Linked DNA regions of Oryzias latipes. Each later gene encodes a partner of the first gene's protein in a complex. Links are inferred from orthologs where the notes say so. Each region holds a gene or a part of one and is shown in the gene's direction. Other genes may lie near its edges. The genes, in order: ints2 and ints12.

The links.
Region 2: ints2 (region 1) and ints12 share a complex: the UniProt entries of both Homo sapiens proteins name them as parts of the integrator complex. The link is inferred for Oryzias latipes from reciprocal best matches to the Homo sapiens genes INTS2 and INTS12.

What each region holds. Positions count from the first base shown.
Region 1 is NC_019872.2:22,025,067-22,028,988, forward strand, and holds the start of ints2 (integrator complex subunit 2), read left to right. Parts: upstream 1-1,060; 5' UTR 1,061-1,277; intron 1,278-2,335; 5' UTR 2,336-2,375; coding exon 2,376-2,668; intron 2,669-2,768; coding exon 2,769-2,907; intron 2,908-3,922. UniProt on the Homo sapiens protein: Component of the integrator complex, a multiprotein complex that terminates RNA polymerase II (Pol II) transcription in the promoter-proximal region of genes.
Region 2 is NC_019859.2:15,820,014-15,823,935, reverse strand, and holds the start of ints12 (integrator complex subunit 12), read left to right. Parts: upstream 1-1,392; coding exon 1,393-1,395; exon of another isoform or gene 1,396-1,402; intron 1,403-1,503; exon of another isoform or gene 1,504-1,659; intron 1,660-1,765; exon of another isoform or gene 1,766-1,884; intron 1,885-2,539; coding exon 2,540-2,698; intron 2,699-2,795; coding exon 2,796-2,948; intron 2,949-3,560; coding exon 3,561-3,742; intron 3,743-3,905; coding exon 3,906-3,922. Other genes in the region: gstcd (glutathione S-transferase C-terminal domain-containing protein), read right to left, coding at 987-1,394. UniProt on the Homo sapiens protein: Component of the integrator complex, a multiprotein complex that terminates RNA polymerase II (Pol II) transcription in the promoter-proximal region of genes.

The sequences.
Region 1 (3,922 bases):
CAGCTTTTCAGTGGTTTGGTATAGAGATTTGTTGTTTGTTTAAATGTCAGGTGCCCTTCCTGACACGAGGCACAGGGAGACCCAGATGGGCAGCAGTGAATGGTGTTGCCTAAGGACCAACACTGGATTTTTTTTTTTCTTCTTCTGCCAAAGAGGTTTAAAAATGTGACTTATTTTAAGTTTTTGCTGTGTAACTATTCTCTGCACTGGCTAGGACTAATTTGAAGATTCTCCTAGTTTTTAAATATCTTAGTGGATTTCAAATCTATGAGATGCAGGACTCACAGCGAGGTCTATTCAGGACCACAGTCCACATCTGTGTTAAAATTTACCTGAGAGTTTCTGCATCTGTGGACATATTTAAATGTAAATGATTTACTTGCCTTTTTAAGTTATTATTTATGTAACTCATTTAATGTCTTTTTTTTTTGTAGCTTTTATGGTTTATCATTTTTACCCGTTCCATCTTTTAATAATCCATACAGTTTCTTCTCAAACCTTTAGCCTTGAGCCTTTCCTAGCCTTTTTATATTTATCTTTTGATTGTTGTTGTTTTAAGTCTTTTGTGGTTAATGACTTTTTATGGTTTTCAATCAATGTTTATGTATGTCTTTATGTCCAGCACCTGATGTCCAACACATTTGGGTGATAGTTGCTCCACGGATTGATTGATTGATTGATTGATTGATTGATTGATTGATTGATTGATTGATTGATTGATTGATTGATTGATTGATTGATTGATTGAAGTAGCTAAATTAGTACAAGGTAGATCCAAAAAACAAAGACTGTTGGGATTTTTTTTAATACTTTCTAATGATGACTGTGTACTATTTATTTCACTTTTACTTGTGTCCTTCCATCACCTCTTTCTCTAAAGGAGTATTGGGACGCATATTTATTTGTTTATTTGTTATATATTTATAGGAAAAGATCAACATGTTGGGATATACTTTGTCACTGGTGGATATCTGGTTAAATGGGAATCAAATGTGAAATTGAGCTCAGAGAAATAGGGTTTAATAATAATAATTATTAATTCAATAATTCAATTATATAATAACTCAATTCTGTCACAATTATTATAATTGTGACAGCTTTTTGGGGAGTTTACAGAGGACGTAAACCCTCGCAGCTGTCGCAAAGCCGCCGGCATCCCTCAGGACAGTCTCCTGTCGAAGGAGGACCCGTCACGTTCACAGTCAACTCAGTCCGGGAGCTAAAAGCCCCAATGGTTGGATTTCTCTGGGAAAAACTGAATATTTTCCATAAGTGAGGTAAGAATTCTGATAATGGAAGGAAATAATGGTGATAGGTATTATTGCAGCGGAAATAACCCCCTGAGAGACTCCACTAGTCTTTTTTTGACTTTTTTTTTTTTTAGCTTCGCGTTAGCCGCTACTAGCATGCTAAAGTCAACTGGACGTGTTTCAAATGCCGGCTAGCTACTAGCATCGCCGAATTAGCGCCTTATTATTGTGTCTAGAAACGTCCAAATCAAACTTTTCTGATTTTTTTCCGCAAACTGAGAAAAACGCACTAATGTTTTACTAAAACAGTTTACGTCAGTGAACGTTTTTAGTAATTAGAGGCATTATTGGCTACCCATCTTTGTGTTAGCTACATCATGTCAATCTATGGACCCTCTTCACTGTTCATCCTACTTATTTCAGATTTTCCAGACTTTTATAATATTCTAAAGTAGTTCTCTGTTTTAGTACTTTTTTTCAGTTCGGTTTGTTTTCAGCAGAGGTCGGGTTCGGCCACCCTTAAAAAAATCTGTTGTCTCTCACAGGGTCTGTCTGGTATTATTGTTTTGGGTTGCTCTTAAAAATCATTAATAGGTTTGTTTAAAGTGAAATGCAGATTATACGATCAGCTGAGAAATGGTTAGTACTTGGAAGGACGTTCTGTGATCCTGGAGCAATGTTGTTGAAACGACTTGATGTTACAATCCCTAAAATTTACCACTTTAACTTCAGAAATTCTTGGACGTTCATTAGGTTTCACATGCGAGATACATCGTCAGTTGTGTACCTCAAAATCTTAGGGTGTTTTGAGGTAGACCAACCACAGGTTGATCAAGCCTGGGTGTTTGTCTCGCTGTTATTTAGTCATTTTTGTCCATGTGATGTCACTTCTCCTCAGCCACAGCTTGTCCTCTAACCGGTGTTGGTCAGTTCTTTGATAGCCTGTCTGTTTGCCCGTCCTCTGACTCCAACCTCTCTGAGGAGCTTAGTAGTCGTACTGGACTAAAACACTGCAAAAATCTGAATAAAATCTCTCCGTCTTCTGAAAATAAGCTGGTGCTTCAGTCATTTGCTGTGTGCTGCAGCTCGTTTTCCTTGTCCCACAGTGTCCTTGCCCACAAAGAGATGGGGGACAGTGCCGGGCTGCAGTTTGTCAGCTCCTATGCCTTTGAAGCCATGCAGAAGGTGGACGTGGTGCGCCTGGCCGCCCTAAGTGACCCGGAGCTGAGGCTGCTGCTCCCGTGTTTGGTGAGGATGGCTTTATGCGCTCCTGCTGATCAGAGTGAGTCCTGGGCTCAAGACAAGAAGCTCATCCTGCGCCTGCTTTCTGGAGTGGAAGCCGTCAACTCCATCGTCGCGCTTCTGTCAGTGGACTTTCACGCTTTAGAGCAGGATGCAAGGAAGGAGCAACAGCTGAGGTAGGGCTGACTTCTTTTTTGTTTTTGTTAGTCATGTAATTTAGTATTTACCTGTCTTTGTTTTAGCAGTACATATATAACATTTAGCCTCTTCTTCCAGACACAAGGCAGGTGGCTCAAATGGAGAGAGCATTCTGGTGTCACAGCTTCAGCACGGCCTGACCCTCGAGTTTGAACACAGTGATCCTCTCAGAAGACTGCGACTGACCCTGAGTGAACTGCTGGCCATCATGAATAAGGTACAGTCTTTTGTTTGTATTCCTCTTTCATCAAAGGGAAACCTTTATATGATTTATTCTAAATCTTTTTTCAGTATTAACATTCTGTCTTGCTATTAAAGTCTCTGAGCACCTTTTGATCTATTGTAAAAAGTTCCCAGTGGTCTTTGATTTATGATTATGCCGTTTTTAGCCGAGATTTTTTTAAAAAAAAAACTGTTTTCTAGAAAATAGTTCCAGCAGAGGTTAAAGGCCTGTTCACACCGGGACGAATTTCGCCGGCGATTTTCGCCGACGTTTAACGCCTCGTGACTAAACAAAGGGCACCAACGAGAGTGTGCACACCGACGCGAAAAAACGCCAAGCGTTAAAGCGTCAAAAAAAAAAACGCCTCGGGTTCGTTTTTTTTTTTCGACGCGTTGCGTCGAAATCTACTCGACCAATGAGAATGGCGCTTTTGCACACGTGTCTGGAGCTTCTGAAGTTACAGTAAAACACAACTTGGGGGCGCTCAAACACAAAACTGCCTTGCTGAGCACACATACCAGCGAAGAAGATAGACGCCAAGTAGCGTCTACACAGCCGCGAAGCAATAATGACGGACATTCTAAAATATCCCCTTACCAAGTACCAGTTGGAGCTACTGGTGCTTGAAATATTCATGTTTTCTTTGTTTGATTCTGACAAGCGTGTAAATACTTGCTCTCTTCTTCTGAGTGAAAAGCGACTTTAAGAAGCGTAAAGTTGCGCAGCGCCACCTTGTGTACAGGAGTATTTCTGTTTTACATTAAGCGCCATCTAATGTCAGGGAAGGAAATTGCATGTTCACTCCACTCATCGTCAGCGAAAATCGCCTGGGTGTGAACACAAAAAACGTGGCGAAAAACGCTGGCGAATAACGCCTGGCGAATATTCGTCCCGGTGTGTACGGGCCTTAAGAGGTCAGAGCAGGAAGCTTGCGGCCCCCCCAGTGTATTTTCTACATCACAAATGCGCTTTTTTTAAAATGGCATTTCTTTGTCTGCTCCTGATTCAC
Region 2 (3,922 bases), on another chromosome or scaffold:
ACCACTGTTGTCTTCCGTGGACGTCCAGGTCTTTTTGCGTTGCTGAGTTCACCAGTGCTTTCTTTCTTTCTCAGGATGTACCACACTGTTGATTTTGCCACTCCTAATACTGTAGCAATTTCTGGCATGGTTTTTTTCTGTTTTCTCAGCTTAATGATGGCTCCTTTCACCTGCATGGAGAGCTCCTTTGACTGCATGTTGTCTGTTCACAGCAAAATCTTCCAAATGCAAGCACGAGTCCTCTAATCAACTCCAGGCAGAAACAAAATTAGAAAGAATGTGTCTCTGTCCAAATATTTATGGTCCTGACTGTATATGTAGATGCAGTTTGGTCTGGGTCATCTTGTACTGCTAGCAACAAATCCTGCCTTTAGGTGTTCAATGATGGAGTCAATTTGACAAGACTGTAGGTATCTTTTTTTACTGCCATCACATGTGTGTTGCCCACTGTAATGGCACTCTGTCAGTTTTTATGTTATAGTAAAATACACCCACAAGGCCTCAATCCAAATGGGACTTTCCAATATTGATAATAATCAATTTATTTCATTTTGAAATGATTTCATAGGTCGATTCAATTAACAGCTTGCGTCAGAAAGATCTGGTTGGATCATAGGAATAAAATTCGATTTTAGTCAATTAATCATTACATCCATAATTTGTTGGCAAGGTGCACCACCTGTCACCGGGGGGAAATGTCTGATAATTAATGTTGCTGTTTTTCTGTAACATATGGCAACATTGACCTGAAACTGTAAGATGATACTTGGTGTTGTGTTGGGGGGGTGTCATTTTTGTGGCATCTTTTTGCCTACAAACACAACAGCTGTTCCTTTCATGTAAAACTGCATAACTTTGATGCCCTTTAATGCAAAGCATCACGGTCTTTTCATATTTTCAAAACACACATAAAGACTTTTTGTGTTTTTCCATCCTGACAACCAAAACAAACCTACAGAGACGTGATAGAGTGTAATTGCACCAACCTCTGCACAGGCTTTTAAGCAGGTCTTTTTGAAGCCCAGCAGAGCTGCTACATCCTTCCTGGAAGGGTCAGCCTCGATGCTCTTGTCGATGATGTGTCTGAGGACCACCGCCAGTCCGGCCCTGCAGATCTGCGCGCTCTCATCCAGAGCAGCGGGGAGGCGGCAGCTGCTCACCAGTTTGGGCAGCTCGTCCACCTGGACGTCTGAGAGACTTGCAGATGCTGGAAGCTGGCTCTTCAGAGGCTCGGAGCTGCTGCTGTCGCCAAGGACGAGAAACACTCTGAAAGACTCGCAGTCGCAGTAAGACAGCAGAAACAGAACTATAGAAGAGTGCAGGGGAAGACGCAGCTGCTCGTTTTGGCTGCAAACTTCTAAGTAGAGGCACGGGGGTTGTTCGGCGTGTGTCATGGTAAATGCTGTGAATGGGAGAAATATGTTTAAGTATTTTTTATTATCACTATTTGTCTTTTCAACTGCTAATAATGCCATAAAACAGTCAGAAAGAAGTCATACAGACCGGCTACTTTACAAACATCACGTTATCAGCGTGCTGCTTTTTCTTCTTCTACTACGAGTTATTGAGTCGAGTATTGCCACAGCGCCACCAGCTGGTCGTTAAAATATATACATTTTAAATGCATTTATTGATAGAAAGTCGGTTAGAATAAAACTTATTTAAAAATACGAGTGAAAAAACAAAAAACAAATTCGCTTTGCTATTACGTGAAGTATATTTTTTGTTCTACTTGCGCCGCCCACTTAGATTCCGGACACATTTATCGGGTGCACATTGTGAAAGACATAAAACGTCAGCGGCGATTTCCTCTTTGTGGAAAGAGTTCTATTAAACAGAAATATCTACAGCAGAGACCAACATTTTGCAGAAACTGAGTGTGAGGTAGGATTACCCATTTAAAGCTATAGACTGGGGATTTTGACGTGTTGGTGACATTTGGGAAGATAACTTTACCTACGGTGTCGCAGTGATATTGTTCCGTCCATCTGCTACCAACGATTACTTTAAACCCTACCAACTGGATTTGAGCATTGTGGGTTGTTTTTAATAGACACAGGCATCATATTTCTTTATATATTTGTAGTAAATAATGCAGAGGCAGGATTTCTTGTAATAAATACCGCAAATAAGGAAAAATAGCTGGTTAGTCTTAAAAACGTTCCGTTTTTGTGTACCCATTATTAGGCAAAACTCTTAAAAATGAACATTTTTATTGGTTGCTGTATTTTTTGTTAGTTTTGACAGCCTATAGTTCATTGTAAATTGCTTTATTTGATTACAATTGTAATTAGCAAACTATAACTTTGAATAAATATGCTCATCATTGATATTCATTGTTGTAAATGCTCCCAGACGCCTATAAACATGTGTGACTGACTTAATAAATGTTTGTTTTTGTTTTTGTTTTTTATTATAGTTAGTATATTTAATTTGCAATCTAGATAAGATGAAATAGTTTTGTATTGTAGCAAAGTGTACATTTGTAATTTGCAGACGTCAATGAAAACCTAACATTATTCAATCATTTTCTAACTAGGCCATGGCTGGACCTGTCAGCTTGGAGTTGGACCCCCTTTTTTTAAAGGCTCTGGGTTATTTGCACTCCAAGAACAAAGATTCAGCAGAGAAACTCAAAGCTTTACTCGATGAGTCCCTTGCGAGAGGAGGTGACTCCTCCTACCGCTCATTACAAAAAGTAAGATCCGCTTCTTATAAAGATAGTCTTACGCTGTCAGTGATAATTCATTCGTATGGAGCTTATTGCTCCTCTTTTCTGCTGTGTTCATCTTTAGGACTTGGAAATGCCAAAAAGTTCTGTGTCCAAACTGAGCCTGACTAAGCAAGACTCAAAGTCTTTGAGCACTCCATCTTCCAGCAACAGTGGAAGTTCCAAATCCAGTTCAGAGAAGAGCAAGAAAGAAGCAGAGAAGAGGCCATCAGAGAAGGTGGGGGATTAAAAGTGTTGTCACATTATCATGTATGTTTAGATGACACCATGTGCCATGATTGGACTGTACTCATTAATTCTCTTCAGGATTTACATTGATTCCAATTAAAGCTGCAACAATTGTCAATCATTAGAATTTAGGAATAAAGCCCTGAAGAGACATAAAATATTGACAAATGCAAAAAGAAATGACAACACTCAAAAAAAAAATGTTTGGAATAAAATTTGAGACTTTTTTTTAACACCAGAAAAAGGATGCCTGATCAGGGAAAGAGAAAAAGAAAACATACATGGGTCATTATTTTAACATATCAGCAACTTAAAGGTTGTTTTTTTTTATGAATAATCGAAGTCTTGATTTATGGCTTTCCTGGGTCTTGTAATTGAATATTATTACTTTATTTTATGAACTAAATGATGCCACAGCGAGATGAACAAGTCCATTTCTAACAAACATGTACATCCTTAGTTTAAAATAATAATAATAGACATTGCTTGGGACTTTCTTCTCAATCTGTGGTTATTTTAAGCATAACAGCTTGTGTGATTGAACACCAATGTTGGTATGAATTTTCAAATTTCATACGTTCTCTGTCTCATTGACAAATAGATACGGGTGGAGTTGTCTGAAGTGGATCCTCCAAAAAAGTCCCGCTTGGAGAAACCGGACAATCGCTCGTCCCCTATAACTGTTCAGACGAGCAAGGACCTCATGCCCAACATACACGACTACGATGAAACTAATGCTGACGACTTTGCCATGGAAATGGGACTGGCTTGTGTGGTTTGCAGGTGCTTGTTAATTATCAAATGAAATGAAATGAAACTTTGAGTTTCTTTGTTATTTGCACATTTTTCTGGTTTGTGGATCCAGTTTCTCTTTCTACAACGTGCGAGTTGGTATGAAATTCTCTTCACTCAACTGTTTTTGCGTCTGCGTTTCTCTGAACTGTAGACAAATGACGGTGACCA